2 linked regions of the Bombyx mori genome follow. Each later gene encodes a partner of the first gene's protein in a complex. Links are inferred from orthologs where the notes say so. Each region holds a gene or a part of one and is shown on either strand. Other genes may lie near its edges.

The links.
Region 2: the proteins of cysteine desulfurase, mitochondrial (region 1) and adrenodoxin-like protein 1, mitochondrial are in contact, whole or in part, in a cryo-EM structure (PDB 8RMC), measured with the Homo sapiens proteins. The link is inferred for Bombyx mori from reciprocal best matches to the Homo sapiens genes NFS1 and FDX2. Residues at the interface, in NP_066923.3 of Homo sapiens: Gln153, Lys157, Leu160, Asp161, Arg164, Ala168, Tyr175, Ala384, Ser385, Leu386, Glu387, Pro388, Tyr390, Arg393, Gln456, His457; in NP_001384335.1 of Homo sapiens: Ala104, Cys105, Glu106, Ala110, Cys111, Pro141, Leu142, Ile169, Thr170, Arg171, Asn172, Phe173, Tyr174, Val175, Asp176, His178, Lys181.

Annotation. Positions count from the first base shown.
Region 1 is NC_085110.1:10,986,574-10,996,668, reverse strand, and holds cysteine desulfurase, mitochondrial, read left to right. Parts: upstream 1-4,139; 5' UTR 4,140-4,334; coding exon 4,335-4,455; intron 4,456-4,776; coding exon 4,777-4,853; intron 4,854-4,931; coding exon 4,932-5,186; intron 5,187-5,726; coding exon 5,727-5,892; intron 5,893-7,997; coding exon 7,998-8,282; intron 8,283-8,855; coding exon 8,856-9,029; intron 9,030-9,199; coding exon 9,200-9,332; intron 9,333-9,431; coding exon 9,432-9,585; 3' UTR 9,586-9,864; downstream 9,865-10,095.
Region 2 is NC_085130.1:1,946,245-1,956,417, reverse strand, and holds the start of adrenodoxin-like protein 1, mitochondrial, read left to right. Parts: upstream 1-4,991; 5' UTR 4,992-5,192; coding exon 5,193-5,292; intron 5,293-5,362; coding exon 5,363-5,414; intron 5,415-6,591; coding exon 6,592-6,698; intron 6,699-7,270; coding exon 7,271-7,411; intron 7,412-8,148; coding exon 8,149-8,252; 3' UTR 8,253-10,173. Other genes in the region: zinc finger protein 62 homolog, read right to left, coding at 1-1,338, 2,259-2,501. UniProt on the Homo sapiens protein: Electron donor, of the core iron-sulfur cluster (ISC) assembly complex, that acts to reduce the persulfide into sulfide during [2Fe-2S] clusters assembly on the scaffolding protein ISCU.

The sequences.
Region 1 (10,095 bases):
GTAGTTCAAAAAATGTAAATGTAATGCACACAAAATCTGTTTTTGTTGAAATGATAATTATTTATAAGTTCAAGAAATATATTGCGGGGGGACATTTAGTAGAAATTCATTTAATATGGAAGAATAAACTTAGTATATATATAACTAGTCAGGTCATAAGTATTGTCACACAGTAAAAACTTTTCTTTTAGAATGCTGGCCACAAAAAAGTTTATTGAATTCGAATTTCGAATTGTTCATGAAAATAAAAATGTATACTTTTAGAATTTTACTCATTTTTTAATATGGAGTGGACGCTTAAAGAAGACCGAGTTGCAGTTATTGCGTTGCATCGTTGCGGTTACGCGCCAATTCAAATTTTTAACATACTGAAAATTTTGAATATAACCAAAAGATTCGTTTATCGTACCATCAAACGATACAATGAAGACTCTAGTGTAGATGACAGGTCAAGAAGTGGTCGCCCTCGGTCTGTTAGGACTCCAGCAGTGATAAAAGCTATGAAGGCGCGAATTCAAAGAAATCCCAAACGTAAGCAGAAACTGTTGGTCCTTCAGATGGGGTTAAGCAGAACCACGGTGAAAAGGGTGTTAAATGAAGACTTAGGGCTTCGGGCATATCGAAGAAAAACAGGACATCGTTTGAATGCTCGTCTAATGGACCTGAGACTGAAGAGATGCCGCGCTTTGTTGAAGCGGTACGCGGGAAAAAAATATCGGGAAATTCTTTTTTCGGATGAAAAATTTTTTACCGTAGAAGAGAGCTACAACAAACAAAATGATAAGGTGTACGCACACAGTAGTGAAGAAGCGAGCAACCGTATTCCGCGTGTCCAACGAGGTCATTTTCCATCCTCGCTCATGGTATGGTTGGGAGTTTCTTATTGGGGCTTAACAGAGGTACATTTTTGTGAGAAAGGTGTAAAAACGAATGCAGTTGTGTATCAAAATACAGTCCTGACGAATCATGTGGAACCTGTTTCTCATACCATGTTCAATAACAGGCACTGGGTATTCCAACAAGATTCGGCGCCAGCTCATAGAGCGAAGAGCACACAAGACTGGCTGGCGGCGCGTGAAATTGACTTCATCCGGCACAAAGACTGGCCTTCCTCCAGTCCAGATTTGAATCCGTTAGATTACAAGATATGGCAACACTTGGAGGAAAAGGCGTGCTCAAAGCCTCATCCCAATTTGGAGTCACTCAATACATCCTTGATTAAGGCAGCCGCCGATATTGACATGGACCTCGTTCGTGCTGCGATAGACGACTGGCCGCGCAGATTGAAGGCCTGTATTCAGAATCACGGAGGTCATTTTGAATAAACTTTAGTGTCATAAGAATCTATGTTTTGTTAAGTTCATTTTGGTATATGAATGGTTACATAATGAATAAACTTGTTTCAATTATTTTACATTAAACATGTGACAGAATTTATGACCTGACTAGGTATATATACGCTATAAACAGGATTTTATTTAAAAAAACAAATTGTTTACGTCTATATTAGCTTAATTATTATTATCGAGAAGTATCTTGATTGATATATATTACAAGGCTTCGTTTTTTATTTTATTTATTTGTTTTTTATGATCAATCAATAACCAATAGTCGTCGAACAAACGATAATTGATCAAAATGAATTAATCTGAGCGATAAAAATAAAGATAAGTAAGTAAGTAAGAAGGGGCAACATAAGGGTGATCATTTGTTTAATTAATTATAAATAAATAAAAGACAACGACAAAACAAACGACGAACAAATAATTAAAAATTAAAAAATCCGAAAATCCAAAAAAGGGGCCAAATTCAGTGAGCCAGAAACTCATTGGGCATTTTGCATCAAACACTGTTTTGTGAAACATTATTAATCTGATCTTTTATTAATTTGATGGCCTGGGGACCAGACTTTTTATCTTTCATAATCCCTGAATTTGACGTGCCTAGGGTAGGAAGTGCGAAATTGAGTTGTAGGATTACTGCACCAAGTGTTTACACCTGGTATTCATTTGCAAGACTTCGGCTTGTGTTATCGGCAATAATTGTAACACTAAAGTTTACTTACTACTGTGAAACTATCACTTTTATCTTATGACTTCCAATACAATGAGTATATAACAGTCCTTATTTGCAAATATTGGAAATGCACTGTAATATTATGTATTTTAATACATTATATTATATTTTATATATTTTTGAAAGCCTTGGCTTGCAAGCATTTCAAAGGGGGCTACACCTTCTTATTAAATTTAAGTAAGACAAAAAAATCCCAAGCATTGTAACTATCGAGCATCTTTAATTTCATATAGCGGTTTAGGACAAGACAACATTCGAATCGCGCGATGTGATTGTGCCGGTGTTCAAATCCGCATAAAAGTAGGTACCATTTTTTATTGAAATACGCACTTCACATATTTTCACGAATTACTCCCACGATGAAATAATAACATCGTCCAACAAAAATGAAACCCGCAAAAACTATAATTTGCGTAATTAATGGTCTTGTGAGCTCACACATAGGTACCACCACCATGCCTATGAGATAAAATAATGAAGTATCACGATTAGATATCCAGTACAGATTTACATGATACTGGAATTTTTTTGCATTGCATTCCATACAAAATTTTGTCTTGGTTCTGTACAGTGTGGAATAGACTCGATAAAAAATCGATTCTTCGATTCATTGGTCTCAGATCGCACCCTGACACAGCGTGACCAGATTTAGTAGATTTCTACTTTTTTAGTAGATTTTGAGGTACTGGCAACACAATTTAGTATGTAAAAATTATTTTGTATATTTTAGTAGAATTCACGCTTTTCATTTAATCTAGTACTTTTTGGCATAACGGATAAATTCCCCCTTTCATCGAATGGATTGTAACTATTTAATTTTCATTCTTTTCGTTACCGTTCGTGCCGTGAGCATAGTGTGATAGACTAGTGGGAATTCCTTCATTGAGAATTTTTATAATCGAGCTTAAAATGAAACATAAATATACATAAGGATATCGCGACGTCCCATTCATCACGATACCTTGTAGTCGCAGCACAAAACCTGCAAATTGTTGACAAAGAAAATAGGGAATTAAAGTTAGATGTTTCCGTGTCTAATTTATTGTCAACTTCTAGTTCGACGTCTGAAACTTTTATGGTGGATAAATTTTGGAGTGAAGTCAGCCAAATCTGTCAGCCAAAGTAGAAAGAATAATTTCTGATTAATATCCTATTAATATAGGATTAAAAATCAAGATCGAAATCGATTTAATAATAAGAATGTTGCTGCAATACCTAATGCATGAAAAAGAGGGGCTATGACAGTTGATGTCACACATTTGATCCTGACAGAAGTACAAGATATCAATGGACTCAAAACAACTTTTTTTTTTTAAGGTATTTTATGACCTGGTAACTAAGACCTTTAGGTCAAGTCTTATTTTAATTTTAATGATACGTAACTTTTATAAATGAAAATGATATTATAAAATGAAATGAAGTTGATTATGATGAAACATGGCATAAAGTGAAATGAAAACGAAATGAAATGACATGAGATGAGATGATATGGGATGAAGTATAATCTCAGTAAAATGGTGGTCATTTACTGAGACTTTTTCAGTGGACTTTTTGGAAGATCCCGAGAAGTTACGTTCAGTGGCTTTGTTTTATTTTCCCAAATTTGTGCACTTTCACAGATACTAAACAGTTAATAAACCACCGCTATTACACGTTTAAATCTGAAGAAACACTAACTAGACAAAATAAAACAAATCACACAACTTCACTCCTCACGTTCCCGCCAAAAGTCCACTCAAAACAACTTTATGCAAATGTTACCCAACCTAAAGACGAAAATTATATTTTTAATTAGAATTTAATTTAAACAAGAACATTGTCTCTTTAATTAATTGTGGTTTCTTTTTATTATTTTATTGTTTATTGTTAAATTATATTTTATTGTTAAATTAAAATAATTAATTGTTATATACACATAACAATATTTCACAATTTACATTGTAACACGACAGTAAAAAAAGTATAATAGATTTTTAGTATTTCTCTTTCTCTTTTGGTAGAATTCAGTAGATTTTAACCTCCACAAGCAGTAGATTCATCAAATGAAATCTGGTCACACTGCCCTGACAACAAGTGTCAATAGTCTATAAGGTCTTGTAACCGTTGGCCGTAAATAAATTAAAAAAAAAAACAAATGTCAATCACACGATTGAATCATATGAATGAATGATATGAATTCGAAATTATTTTAGTCAAGACTCTGGTTAAGAATTGCTTGTTTTTAAACTTGCAAAATTGTTTAATTTATTTCATTCAAAATGTTCCGTTTGACAAAAAACGTGATTTCGGTGGTTTGTAAATCCGCAATAAAACAGAAAACCCAATTAAATGGAAACGGCGTTGTTATATTTGAGCAAAGCAATTTTTTTTCCGATTCTGGTAAACTACCATGATTTAATTAGTATTATACCTACTTATTTTTGTATCTAATTTCTATGTTCTAAGGTTTAAGTTAATAGTGTATATTCAATGTCATAATATTATACAAAGTTACGCTATATTATTGATTTTTACCCTATCAACAAAATGTGCTAATCATTTACATCACAATTGCCACAATTTTTTGAGTAAACATGGAATATTATACATTACGTGTCAACTTCCCACATCAAATACATTTGTTATTCAATAAACATTTACTGCAAAATTTAATTTTGTTGCAAATTTATTATAAAAAGTTAAAATCAGTACATGTTTCAGCAAATGACAAATTTTCATTAAAACATGAGGAAGTTGGCCGGCCTTTGTATTTCGATGCTCAAGCCACTACACCAATGGTAAGTAGAACATGATACGAAAATTTTACATTTATTCATATCACTTATGAATGGAGATTTAAGTGCAATTAACTTCAGGATCCTAGAGTTCTTGATGTAATGCTACCATACTTAGTAAGTTATCATGGCAATCCACATTCAAGAACTCATGCGTATGGATGGGAAAGTGAAGCTGCTGTTGAAAAAGCCAGAGAACAAGTGGCAAATTTAATAAATGCTGAACCAAAAGAAATTATATTTACTTCAGGAGCAACAGAATCAAATAACATATCTGTTAAAGGTGTGGGTCGATTTTATGCACCAAGAAAAAAGCATGTCATTACTACTCAAATTGTAAGTTTTTAATTATTTTTATTCAAAAAAGTCCTTTAGTAGTAGAAATTTCTATAATAAACATTATATTTTTAACTCACTGCATAAATTATAATAGCTAAGTAAAAGATTGATTCATAGCCATTAGAATGAACTTATCGACACTTGAAAGGCAAACGTGACTAAGCGACAATGCGTGAACTTTACAGTAGACTAATTTAAAGTTGAAATACCCGAAAAAAATTATATTTTAATGAATCTAGCTGTAGGATTGAAATGAATTTAATAGACCTAGAAATATATATTTTTTGCACATCGAATATGGTTATTGCCTATCATTCATATTATTATAGACATAGGCCTCATACAAAGCAGTTATTGTCGCTTAGTCACATTTGCCTTTCAAGCGTCGTTATTTATTATTTATTTCAGTCGTTGTAATTTTCATTTAGTCTGTCTATTAACACAAGTTTACACTTACACTATAGTCACAAGATTACATTGTTGCTTTTTTTTTTTCAAAAATTATATTTTGGTAATAATGGAGTTTTTATTCTTCAGGAACACAAATGTGTTTTAGACTCATGTCGTGCTTTAGAAGGTGAAGGTTTCAGAATTACATATTTACCAGTCCAACAGAATGGAATTATAAATTTAAAGGATTTGGAAGATGCCATCACGCCAGAAACCAGTTTGGTATCTATAATGACTGTCAATAATGAAATAGGTTTGTAAACATGTAAACTTTTTTCATTATGTGCTATTGTGATTTGTAATCTCTGTAATGTTTATATTTTTTTGTTAATTTGTTATATATTAATAACCTTTCAACTTTAAATATATTGTGTGATATGATAGCAAGGAACATTAATAAACTAATTTAACCTCAAGATCCAAAAATTTGTTGACATTGTCTTATCATCATTAACTTGTAATATTTTATAATTTAACAGTAATGTAAATAAATTATAAACTTTATCTGACCTTGCAATAAAATAAAATTGTTTGACAATTTGCATTATCATAAAAGTTTAATATTTCATTCAAAGTAACATCAATTACTCCCCTCGAGACATGATATTGCTGTCTCACTTCAATTGTATGGTGGTCTCAAGCTTCAAACTTAATGCATAACGGCTCTGTACCAGAAATTGGCAGGGTAATATCAACTACTTATGTGGGATTATATTTTTTTAATATTCAGTATTACAGGCCTCCTAGAGGCTCAGTCACAGTTTTACAATCCATACATTTGAGATGAGTCTGAATCCATTGATTTCAGACGACCCCTAGCCCTTGGGTAGGTACTTACGCTATCAAATACAAAATTCCAAGACTTGTAATATATGTAATTATTACAATCATTTATTTATAAGTACATACCTAATTACATTACATGTGTTGTGCTGCCAGATAGTTACATGTCACTTTATTATTGGGTGTTTTCAGATTTATATTATTAAATTTAATTAAGTATTATATTTGCATTCCGATCTTATAAATTTTTGAGGGAAACAGGAGCATAGCTGTGATTTAAATTTTACTTTACTTACTATGTTAATTAAGTAATTTCTCTAAAATATTGTCTCCAACAAATGAGTGGAAAATTCTGTCTTAAATGGTTTTCTAGTTCATTACATCATTAGATTGGCTGTTTCAATGTTTAAGCTTGTTTACATTTTTTGTAACTTCTATTGAAAGATGATATTTGGTAAGGTAACACAAAATTATAGAAATAAACTTAGCTCCTTACTATACTTGAGACCTGAGAACATATCTCAAGGTGGGTGGCGCATTTACGTTGTAGATGTCTATGGGCTCCAGTAACCACTTCACATCAGGTGGGCTGTGAGCTCGTCCACCCATCTAAGCAATAAAAAAATAACGTGTCGCCACGGAGAAATCTATGTAATCGCAAGCATGATTCTTGTTTTATTTTGCTGTAGATGCACATTTGGCACAAGTGTGCACCATTTTAATGAAAGTAATAAAAAACGATTCTCGCAAAACTTTCTTGCGATGCATGCGGTCCGATCTGCTCTCAGAGTTTGAGTGCGCAAAGTAAGCGCAATTGAGGGCCGCGATCCGCGTCGCCCTGCCCGTTCCCCGCCGTTACGCGCAAGTACATTACTTTCTGAACTTTATGGATTGTAAAACTGTGGCTAAGTACGGTGTATCTGTCTAGATAGCACCACCCAATCTCTTTCCATGAGATGTAGTTACCACAACCCTGTCTATTTTTGTAACAGAACAGTCATGCATTCCATCCGGTTTGAAGGGTGAGATAACCACACAATAGATGGAAATCCATCCGGAAATTAATGTGAGTAGTGGCACGTTGTGAAGTTTGGACCAAGAGAGCCATGCGCTTCTTTTCCAACCTACGAAATGACAGTCAATTGTGCTGTGAAAACTACAAACAACGATTATTTTTTACAACAACATGCATTTTACGAATCTAATTGAATAAAATAAAAATGTTATTTATTTCCAAATTAATTTTATAGAGATAGTTTGTGTTGAGCCTACCTAATAATTAACCTAATAGATACCTACTTATGGTGGAAATGGCTCGCTACTTTCCATAACTACACAATTTACAATTTAGACATAAATATAATTAATTATTATATTTACGATTAAAAGTAATACAATCTTAAGTCAGTTGTCGGACAATATAAGTTACAACGATAATCTTTTTTATGAAATCCCGTAAAACAATTGGGTTATTAATACAAATTTATTGAAAAGATAAAATCTTTAGCACAGAGGTGTGTACACCATAAATCTATATAACTTATATGTAATAATATGTGTGTGTAATATTTGCAGGTGTTAGACAACCAATTGAAGCTATAGGAGCAATATGCAAAAGCAAGAAAGTATTTTTTCATACTGATGCTGCCCAAGCTGTTGGAAAGGTACCTTTGGATGTTAACACAATGAACATTGATTTGATGTCGATTTCTGGACACAAAGTTTATGGACCTAAAGGCGTGGGCGCACTATACATTAGGCGGAGGCCTCGAGTGCGCGTAGAGCCAATACAGAGTGGGGGTGGACAGGAGAGAGGCATGAGAAGTGGAACTGTACCCACACCACTTGTTGTGGGATTAGGTTCGTTGACAATGTTTTTATTACCATAGATATGTTCACAGTACATCTATTAAAAAGTTATTAGTCTGTAAACGCCATAAATAGATACTGCAGCCCAGATTTAGACAAGTTGTGAAAATCTATCCCTTTTTTGTTTACCGGTTCTAATAAATAATGTATAGTATTTCATCAAAAAACTGACGCTCATCCTAACACATGCGAGTGAAACTAGGTGTGTTGGAGCAGACATTACATCCTGCAATCAGTACTTGAGATAATAATGAAGGAGAGTTATACAGAAATGCGACGATGTACTGATGGATGTTGACACAAGTCTTAGTAGTAGTTTAATAGGGCTAGATAATAGTCTAAGTATAGATATAATAAAAGAAAGGAAAGATATAATAGATAATATCTAATTAATGGCCTAAGAAAAACCAGTAATGAATTCATGATGAAAATGATAAGACCTGTGTATTTAAACACCAAAATACAGCTTAGTTACTTACATTATTTTATTGATTTAGGGTAGGTAACTAAGCCTTAATACGCCTTAAATTTTTAAATTAAATATCATTTTTTTGGGTATTTTAGGAGCTGCATGTGAGTTGGCCGGACGTGAAATGGCATATGATCATTTATGGATGGAAAAATTATCTAAAAGGTTTTTAGAAAAGATTAATTCTAAGCTGACACATGTGATAAGAAATGGAGATGCTGAACAAACATATCCAGGCTGTGTAAACTTATCTTTTGCATTTGTTGAAGGTCTAGTGAATTTTTTTTTTGTTTACATTATCAAGTGTTATTCAATTAATAATGGAACAATAGAAATAACTTTGTAATCTTTGCACAATATTTATTTATAATCTTACTTTCTGATTATGCAATTAATGAAAAAAGAGAAACTTTTATTTATTTAATTTTGATTCTCACAGGTGAATCTTTGTTGATGGCTTTAAAGGATGTAGCCTTGTCGAGTGGTTCAGCATGTACTTCTGCATCATTGGAACCTTCGTATGTTTTAAGAGCAATAGGAACTGATGAAGACTTAGCCCATAGTTCAATAAGGTATAACATATTCTGACAAATTAAATAAGTTAGTTAATCATCAGTTACAAGTTTTCAGTTTTACATTATTTCTAATTTTATATTACATTTATTTTATAGATTTGGTTTAGGTCGCTTCACAACAATCGAAGAAGTAGACTACACAGCTGAAAAGACGATAAGACATGTTGAACGATTAAGAGAAATGAGTCCACTCTGGGAGATGGTACAAGAAGGCATAGATATAAAGACAATTCAATGGTCGCAGCATTAAAACGTAAAAAAGTTAAAAATATTCCAAATCTAGACGTAGGAAATTGTTTTATTTAATAAGATTGCAAAGATCTGGTTCGAAATGTGTATTTATGCAAGAGTGTAATGGAAAAAAGATCATTTAAAATAGGACAGGAGATATGTTTAAAATGTCTATAAAATACGACATTTTAATGAAATTCCTGCATAAAAAAGAATCATGTACCAAATGTACAGAAGACACAAGTTATGAAATGTGTGATATTATTTTTATTAACAATAAATAGAAGTTGCGTTGAAATTTCTTTTATTATTTTAATACATGTATTAGATTCAATAAATTACACCACAATATTTGATTTATAAAAAAGCTTCGAAATGTTGTCTTAAAATAAACATCCAGTAATATTTATAAAAATAATAATTAAAAAACTGTATCTTATTGTCTATTTGAAATATTGATATTTTCCCATAAAGAATACTAGCTATTAATTAATAATACTTTTGAAATACACATACAATATAACACTAT
Region 2 (10,173 bases), on another chromosome or scaffold:
GTTTATGTGTTTGCATAATTCAAACTCATCTTTGAAGGATTCTGAACATTGACTACAATTTTGCAGGTTAACATTCACAAGCTTTTGCGTTGGATGTTTTAAAATTAAATGACGTCTATAACTCTCTTTAGTCTTCAAAGTTTTATTACAATATTTACAAGTGTACCTTATGTTCATATGAACTTTCATCAAATGCGGCTTTAGCTGTCTCTTCTCGTGGAATCCTTGATTGCATATATTACAAAAGACAGTTTTTGGGGTGTCAATTTTGTGTAAACGCCTCAGATGTTTCGCGAGGCCAACTTCTGTAGCAAATATAAGTCCACATATCGAACATTCCTTTATGAATTTCACATGTGAATGATTCAGGTATGCTTCTTTACTATTGAATTTTTTCTTGCATATCCTACAGTATGTTCTTATGTCATGTTTTCTTCTGACATGACGTTTTAAACTCTCTAATTTGTCATAGGACAAGTTGCATATTCGGCATTTCAATTGGAATGACTCCTGCAAGGCATTGTGTTTTCTCCTCATATGTAGCTTTAAATAATTAATGGATGTGAACATCAATGGACACTCTTTACATGTAATCTCACCGGTCACCTCATTTCGGAAACTTGCTAAATTTTCGTCATCAGCATTCTCAGATTTCACATTCGGCTCATCACTGACTTTGTGCTTCCTTTGTATATGACGGGCATAGGTTTCCCGTTTGCTAAATATTTTCGTGCAAAACGGGCAGTTGAACCATTGATTCGAGGTTGGTTGTACCCCAGAATGTTTTCTTTGTATATGCACTATTAAGCTTCTGTGTTTCTCATAAGCCAGACCGCATTCTGAGCAAACATGTTTAAATGAATCCTCATATTTTCCATGTTTTCTTGTCATATGCATCCGCAACCTTGACTTTCCTTTGAAAACCAACGAGCATACCTCACAAGTGTGGTCCTCATTGTCTTCTTCCACAGACTCAGGTCCGTGTTTTCTTTTAATATGTGCAACTAAACTATTCTTTGAATCATAAGACATACTGCAGTAGTCACATACATGTTTGCAGAACCTCCGAAATACTTTGTGCTTCCTTTTCTGATGCATGAAAAGAGTTTTCTCAGACTTAAAGACTAGATGGCAAACTTGGCATATTATGTTGTCATTAGTTACAGTTTCCGCTTCTACCTTGATTTTCGGACTGCATTTTACAACATTTTTTTCATTGACAACACTTTCAAATGTTAATATGGCACCTTCATGACTTTGTTCTTCGAGTTTAACAATTGGTTCCATGTCCATGATATCGTTTTGTAACGGCTCAGTGTTACCAGCATCATCGGCATACTGCAATATAGAAAAAATATTTAAAAGTATTAAACTAAATAGCTACTACTTCATTTTGGGCTGTACAAAATATTTAATTCAGATATAAAATTTAACTCATAAATACATTTACAAAGTATTAAGCTAGAAAATTATCACATTGGGTTCCTTCACCACTATGGTGGTGAAATCATCAATAGAAAACTAGATTACATATTTTTATTTTTCCGTGTCACTTTCAGAAAATTCAACTGAAAGCAAACATTCATTATATGTGACATCTCAGGGGCACAGCTAAAACGGCAAATATGGAATTGTTCAGGACCACAAATAATATATTTTAGGACCCAAGCCCAGTAGTTCTTAAGACGTTTTTTTTTCCCAGAAGTATCTTAAATAAGAATGTCGCCACCTTATCTCGTTTAAATAATAATTTTAAAATTTTACAATGCATACCATCAGCTTAGCAAGTACTGTATTACATGATATAAGATTTGTGTGTTTTTATGCACATGTATTTGTGATACATCTAAATATATATTTAATTTTGATAGAGGGTGTTGACAAGTGCTAGATGTAAATTACAATGGTTCTTCTTATAATAAAAGTAAATTGATGAAATTAGGAAATAGCAAGAAAGTCCTTGAATAACTACTTAAATATGTTTTCAGATCTCTAAGTATTTACATATTTCTATTTATTCTACTGTTTATAATAAAAATATTGAATTTAGGTATTTTTACAATTTCTAGCTTGAAATATCTATTTATTTATTGGCATATTCTAATCAATATAATAATTGGTAATTAAAATGTTCATTGAGCCAAGTAAGAGTAAAAACTGGATCAAATTTATAAATATGACTATAAGTATTTTTTATTTAGTGGACTGAATTTGCAATATGCTTTTACATTTAGCAAACATACTTTTATATGTCTTACCTCATCGAAGTTCAATTCCACCTCAATATTCTCTACTTTAATATTTACTTCTGGGTCTAAAGCGAATGTTGGCACCTCTGGAAAATGTTTGCGTTCTATTTCCAAATCTTTGAATGGATCTTCCTGGATCTTTTTTTTCTTCTTTTTCTTCTTTTTGAATTCATATGACATCTCCTCCTCAGGTAGGAATGATGTTGGATCCCTTCGCAATGGCTTGTTTTCACTGTGCAGTTTTAGAGACATTATTCTGGAAGATTAAAGAAAACATACTCTTAAGTTTTTAGGTCCACATGAGTAGTTAGTAGCTTAATTCTGCCATATAGTAGTAATGTAGATGTTTAAAGTAATATAGAAGTCATTGCAGCTTAAGGCAGCCAAGTGCATTCATATTGAGCATAGCAAATGTGTCAGTGTTCAAATCATGCTGGTAGATACCAGTTTTTCTAATGAAATAATTTATAATTGTTCATAGTTGACTTCCAAGATGAAGGAATAACATAGTATAATAAAAAAATAATGCTCAAAAATTATCATTTGCAAAATTACTGATGGTGGGGAATCACGTGAGCCCGCACGGATATGTATACCTTCACGGGCTACATACGGCCATAGGGCTCCCGAGTAGGTACCTGTGGTGGTACCCTACCACTCTACCTATTACTGCAGTAAAGCAGTAATGCTTTATGGTTCCAAGGGCGGGGCAGCCATTTTACTGTAAATACTAAGACTTAGAACTCATGTTCCAAGGTGAGAGTATTAAGGTGGTTAATGTCTAAGGGCTCTGGTAACCACTTAACACTGGGTGGGGCGTGAGTTTGTTGATTTTTTTCGTTACATTGATCTAAGAAATATAAAAAAGTGTTGCAGTGTAAAGGGAATGTTATAAACTAAGGATTATAATATGCTATCTGTGCCAGTCTTTAATATATTGTAAGAACAATAAAATTGAGTATCCATTGTAATAGCTTGCCTAGGCCCTTGACGTTTTTAATGAACAATTCATGAGCAACAGTGACAGCTCCCCACAGAATTAAATGTGAATTAATGTTGCAGAAGACCGCCCCAGAACTAAGGGAAAGCAAGATAAATAGGTTAAATACTTGAAAGTATCTCGTCCATCATTGTATTTTAATTTTAAAACACATTTAGTCCTAGGACTATGTAATATAAGTTACACAACTGGACGTTTCATTTACGAACACAATAAAAACTTGAAATCTGAACTATTGTGGGAAGAAATGCAAATCGAGCACTTTGTTGTTTTCCACAAGAGATTTATGAATAACATTACTATATTTTCCAAAACAATCAATTTCCTATTACTGTTTAAAGTACATAGTCAAATATATTAACGATTTTAGTTTACATTTTTTTACGACATAAAATAAGTGACCAGTAAATAATAATAAAACATACTATCCTCAATTTATAAATATTGATTTCAGAGGGTTAAAACAACGTTTTCTAAGAATGTAGAACCTATCGCTCAAATTTAAAGGCGCGAATGCCGAATGCATTAAACACGTCACTCACCAAAAAATAAGAATATATCAGCAATGTTTTTCATTAAAAATCACGTGTTGTTGTAAGATTATCAGTAATAATCACGCATGTTTGCGTAAAATGATCATATTTAACATTTTTTTTAATTGAACTACCTAAGCCTTTATCATAAAAATCAATATTTTATTATCAATTCATTAATATTTTATACAAAATGGCCTTATAGTATAGAAGTCATCATATGATTGACGCTTGAATAATATGACAATTATGACATTTAATTTTTATTATTGCAAGCTTTACAAAAAATTGCTAATTAAACCAAAGGGTTTTGTATAGAGGCGACTGCTGAAATGTTACAGCTTAAACTATTAATTCACATAGAAGTTATATGTTTAAAATTAATACGTCACTAGCATTTTGGACAGAGAGAGTGAGCTTGTGTTGTTTTATCTATCACACTGAAATCTCAATCTTAGGTTAAACTAAGAAATCAATTTTATTATTATTGAGAGGAACGAAGCTTATCGTCTTAAAATATTTTGGACAGTGAAGTTTTTATTCAATCACGTTTTGACCTTTGCGAGTTTGTTGACGTATCACGTACCGGCCGATGTTATGTCAAACAACGCAATTAATATATAGTATTTAACATGAAGTGAGAATATATATGTACCTATGTATATTAATTTAAATTAAAAAAATTGGATTGTAATTTTACTGCTTTTTTTTAAGGGATTTTATGACCTGGTAACTAAGACTTTTCAGTCATGTCTTATTTTAATTAATATTCTTCTTTTTATGAAAAATGATAATATGGGGTGAAATGAAATGAATTCAAGATGATTAATTTAAGACATTAATCAACTGGGATGAAATTAAATGAAATGAGATGATATGGGATGAATAATCTCAGTAAAATGGTGGTCATTTACTGAGATTTTTTCAGTGGACTTTTTGGAGGATCCCGAGAAGTTACGTCCAGCGGCTTTGTTTCATTTTCCCACATTTGTGCACTTTCACAGATATTAAACAGTTAATAAACCACCGTTATTACACATTTAAACCTGAAGAAACACTAAATAGACAAAATAAAACAAACACACAACTTCACTACTCACGTTCCCGCCAAAAAGTCCTTTAATTTTTGCGGGCTTTCTTTCATCACAGACTATACCTATAAATCAATGGTAGTAGAGAGCTGCCAAAGGCTAAGTATACCTACCTATGACCTACACTACAATCAGCCACAGACTGATATAATAATATCAGCTGACGACAGTCAATAAGTCTCTATTGTCCACATATGTCAACTTCATAGGTAGGTACCTACCTACACCTACTGACTGAAAAATATTCAATGTACATAACCAAAAACCGAATTATTTTATTTTGATTCGAAGTTTTCTCAACAAAGGCACGTTGTGTATCATGCTCCAATTATCAATTAAACGACTTATCTCGTGTAATAGACTGAGTGATTTGCGACGATCGTTTATTGTACAAAACAAGAGAATTCACACTACGAATCGTGAGTATTTACATAGCGTTATATGTTTAGTGCTGACAACAAGAAATATTAATTAAAATGTTATCGGCAGATTTAAAACACGGAGAATACGAATGGCAAGATCCGAAGTCTGAAGATGAAGTGTGAGTATCGCCACAAGCGAAATCTGAAAGGAATTTTGTTACATATATTATCTAGAAAATCTAAAGAGTAGTTACAATTGAAAACCTTAAACGGGGCCTTGATCGAATCAAAACAAAACAATACCATTCTTATTTTTCATATTTTTTATACTAGTTTTTTTGAAATTTCAGTTTCTTCAACAGGTTATGATTATATTTACTATCTTCAGTAAATTAAAAAATTATGTACTTTATATACTAAACACAAAAAAATAAACAAGCTAATAGAATATGATATAATTTTTGTTATGTTTTCAGTATTCATAGATATAAATTTAAAAAATGTTTATATCTAGTAAATATTATTATATTGCATTATTAATATACTAAAGTCATACATTATTAATATACTAAAGTCACACATACATTTTAATATGATTTAAAAGGAAACATATTTTATTTATGCATGAGATGAGATTAAAACTTGTTTTTATAAATGTAGCCATAATAAGTTTATTAATCAAGCTACTAATTAAAGCACAGATAATAAAGGTTATCTCTTGTATAATATATGTGTAAATAGGCAAAAAAAGAAGTACCCTTTTTCTCTTCTGTTAGTTAAGAAAAAGATTTTCTTTGTTTAATGAACAATGGTGTAGATTGCATGGCTATGTTAATCTTCAAATTGATACAAGTACTTAGAGAAATTGGCAATACATGGTGCTAAACATCACTAAAGACTTTGTGTAAATCACATAGTAAATCTAAGTTTCTTTTTTTTTGTTGCTTATATGAGAGGACAAGCTCACAGCCCACCTGGTGTTAAGTGGTTACTGGAGCCCATAGACATCTACAACGTAAATGCGCCACCCACCTTGAGATATAACTTCTAAGTTCTCAAGTATAGTTACAAAGGCTGCCCCACCCTTCAAACCGAAACGCATTACTGCTTCACGGCACAAATAGGCAGGGTGGTGGTACCTACCCGCACGGACTCACAAGAGGTTCTACCACCAGTAATTTAGGAGCCAGGACCTTAGGAACCTTAGAACTCAAGGTGTGTGGCGCATTTACGTTGTAGATGTCCATGGGCTCCAGTAACCACTTAACACCGTCTGAGCTCGTCCACACATCTAAGCAATAAAAAAAAAATGCTTCATTTGTTCCTAGTTATTATTATTAATAATTTATATTTCAGTGTGAACGTTGTATATGTTGATAAAGATGGAGTTAAAATAAATGTTAAAGGGAAAGTTGGTGATAACATTTTATATTTAGCACATAGATATGAGATTCCTATGGAAGGTTTGTAGTGTTTTACTTCAATTATTATTGTTCTTTCTATGACACGGTATCATTCAACACCATAATCTGAATCCAGCCAGTCAAGTTACAATAATGAAATTAAAGTTTAAAAAAAGATTACTTTGTACCTTACATGTTAATTGTTTTGTCCAGTCCAGTAATCTCTTAACACATAACATTAGGTATGCATGTGGGCTTTGGATAATTACTCACAATAGTATAGTAGTATACGTCCGTCTGGTGTAGTGGTAAGTGACATGGTCAAACGGCCGTCTGGTGTAGTGGTAAGTGACATGGTCACTACACAAGGGGGTCGCGGGTTCGAATCCCGCCAAGGGAAGATATTTGTATGATAAATATAAATGTCTTTTCCAGGGTTATGGATGTATATTTAATATATTATGTATGTGTATAATAAAAATCTTACATTTATTTCCCTTATCTGGTACCTGTAACACAAGTTCTTTACGAACTTATCACGGGACCAGTTAACGTGGCGTGATTGTTAGTAAATATTTATTTGTTAGTAAAATAGTATGTATCCATAAGTTAACCATACTTATTAATTACAGGTGCATGTGAAGCTTCATTGGCGTGCACAACTTGCCACGTATACATTCCTCACGATTACTTAGATAAGCTCCCGCCATCGGAAGAGAAAGAAGATGATCTGTTAGATATGGCTCCGTTTCTCAAAGAAAATTCTAGATTAGGTACACATTCTAATAGCATAAGTAAGCAAAAAGAGCGCGCCGTGTACGGGAATTATAGTCTAGCTTTTCTGATGAGAATGTATGATTACTTCGCGGCAGAAAAGCCAAGATGGTAGTACCTACTCATGTGGACTTACATACAGAATGGCCCTAATAAAGGGTGTGATGGTGGAAGTATTCGCATTGTAATGTTCTGGATCTGGTAACCACTTAACACTAAGTGGGCCGTAATTCGTTCACCTGTCTATGCAATAGAGAGTGGTAGCATGTTAATTCTGACCCTTTTCAGCGTTTAGTGTAAAGTGTTTAACGTTTTACTAGATAAATCGCAATATTTTTTATTGCTTAGATGGTTGGACGAGCTCACAGCCCACCTGGTGTTAAGTGGTTACTGGAGCCCATAGACATCTACAATGTAAATGCGCCACCCACCTTGAGATATAAGTTCTAAGGTCTCACTATAGTTACAACGGCTACCCCACCCTTTATACCGAAACGCATTACTGCTTCAAATACCAACTCGTCATTTTGAAGGATAAGGATAAGGATGACCCTCCGCACTCCCTCAAGATAGTGAGACAGCACAGCTTTTAATTTCATTACAATGAGTGCAATTTAAAAAAAACAGTTGTAAAGTTTGCATTTGCCTCCTTTTTTCCCATTTTTTTTCTAGTATTATTTAGATACTGGGCCCAAATCTGAGGCTGCCAATCCAAGTAATTTTTTTTTATTTGCAGGTTGTCAAATTGTTTTAACAAAAGAATTGGAAGGTATGGTAATACAATTACCGAAAGCAACTAGGAACTTTTACGTGGACGGACATAAACCTAAGCCACATTAATTTTAAATACTGGTGGTATTAGAAATGAAGAAAGCATAATTTATTTATGAAGTTACTGATAAAGAAACGTGTGAGCAAAACGAAGCACAGTGAATACAGTCCAGTTATCGTTCCGAGGGGCTGAAAAGTGAATGTTGTATTTAAAGTTGAAGACAATATACTTTTGCTAACATGAAATGAATGATACGTCAAGTTTTTTAGGAATCCGTAATGTATATTACACAAGATGGCTCAGCTCTTTCTAATAATGCGTAGATAATTAGTAACAAAAAAACATTCAGGGTTTTTTAAGTGTCATCTTATCATTGCCCCTTCCTCATCCTTGTTGCGGTTGTGCTCCTTAATGCTGAGGGTAGTGACCTTTACAGAGCATTTTGTTTGGAACATGTTCCTTCATTCTTTTCAGTCCTCTGTGCAGTGGAGAGTGACATTGATGATTGCTATTTCCCTTTACACAATATTAATTTTAACTGGGGTTACACTTCTAAATTGACCCAGAGAATGCACTCACCCATCAGTCTAATTACTCTAATTTGGATCTGTGCTTCAAAAATACTGTCATTACTAAATACCAATTGGCGATCTCATGAGTGAGACACTCACCGGAAGAGATGTAGTGGTGTTATTCTACACCACAACACGCAACTAGTTCCTCTATATTATATTTTCATCTGTCAATATGCAGACTACCTTCAGTCTCAATCAATGTTTACGGGTATTTCCCAAAGGAGTTTTTTAGTCTTGCTCCTAATTAATTATGAATTGGATGGCTTGTTTGATTTAGTGATTATTGACTCTGTCTTCTGTACAGCAGGGTTGGGATTACATTTCTGGACAAAGTCAAAATCTTTGAGATTAGCATTGATCACGGGGGCTGTACCCGAGTCTACGCGTGCCTGTACAGGTCCCACAGCAGTGATGCAGGTTCAGCTCTGATAGAGCATGTGCAAGAGGGGACTAACCGCGTGCTTGAGCAGTACCCATCTGCGGAGGTGGTGGTTCTTGGAGACTTTAACGCTCATCACCAAGAGTGGTTGGGGTCCAGAACCACTGACCTCCCGGGTCGGACTGCCTACGATTTCGCCTTGGCCTACGGCCTCTCCCAGCTGGTGACACAGCCCACCCGTGTCCCAGATATTGAGGGGCACGAGCCTTCTCTGTTGGACCTTCTGCTGACCACCGATCCAGCCGGATACAGTGTGGTGGTCGACGCTCCACTTGGATCGTCTGATCACTGCCTTATCCGTGCTGCCACACCACTCTCTCGTCCTAGTCGTCGAACGACGACCAGGTATCGAAGAGTTTGGCAGTATTTGTCAGCAGATTGGGATGGATTGCGTGAGTTTTACGCATCCTACCCATGGGGGCGGTTCTGCTTTTCCTCTGCTGATCCTGACGTCTGTGCGGACCGTCTTAAAGACGTGGTGCTCCAGGGGATGGAATTGTTTATTCCCTCCTCTGAAGTGCCCGTTGGGGGTCGCAGCAGACCCTGGTATAACAATGCCAGCAGGGATGCTGCACACCTCAAGCGGTCCGCATACGTTGCATGGGATGATGCTAGGAGACGTCGGGATCCTAACATCTCAGAGGAAAGGCGGAAATATAACGCCGCTTCCAGGTCCTACAAGAAGGTTATTGCCAGGGCGAAATCGGAGCACGTTGCTAGAATTGGCGAGCGACTGAAGAGCTATCCCTCTGGGAGCCGTGCTTTTTGGTCGCTCGCCAAAGCTGCAGAAGGTAACTTTTGCAGGTCTAGTCTCCCACCACTACGCAAGTCCGATGACAGTCTGGCCCATAGTGCGAAAGAGAAGGCTGACCTTCTGGTCAAACTCTTCGCCTCGAACTCGACTGTGGACGACGGGGGTGCCACACCACCGAACATCCTCCGGTGTGATAGTTCCCTGCCGGAGATCTGCTTTAC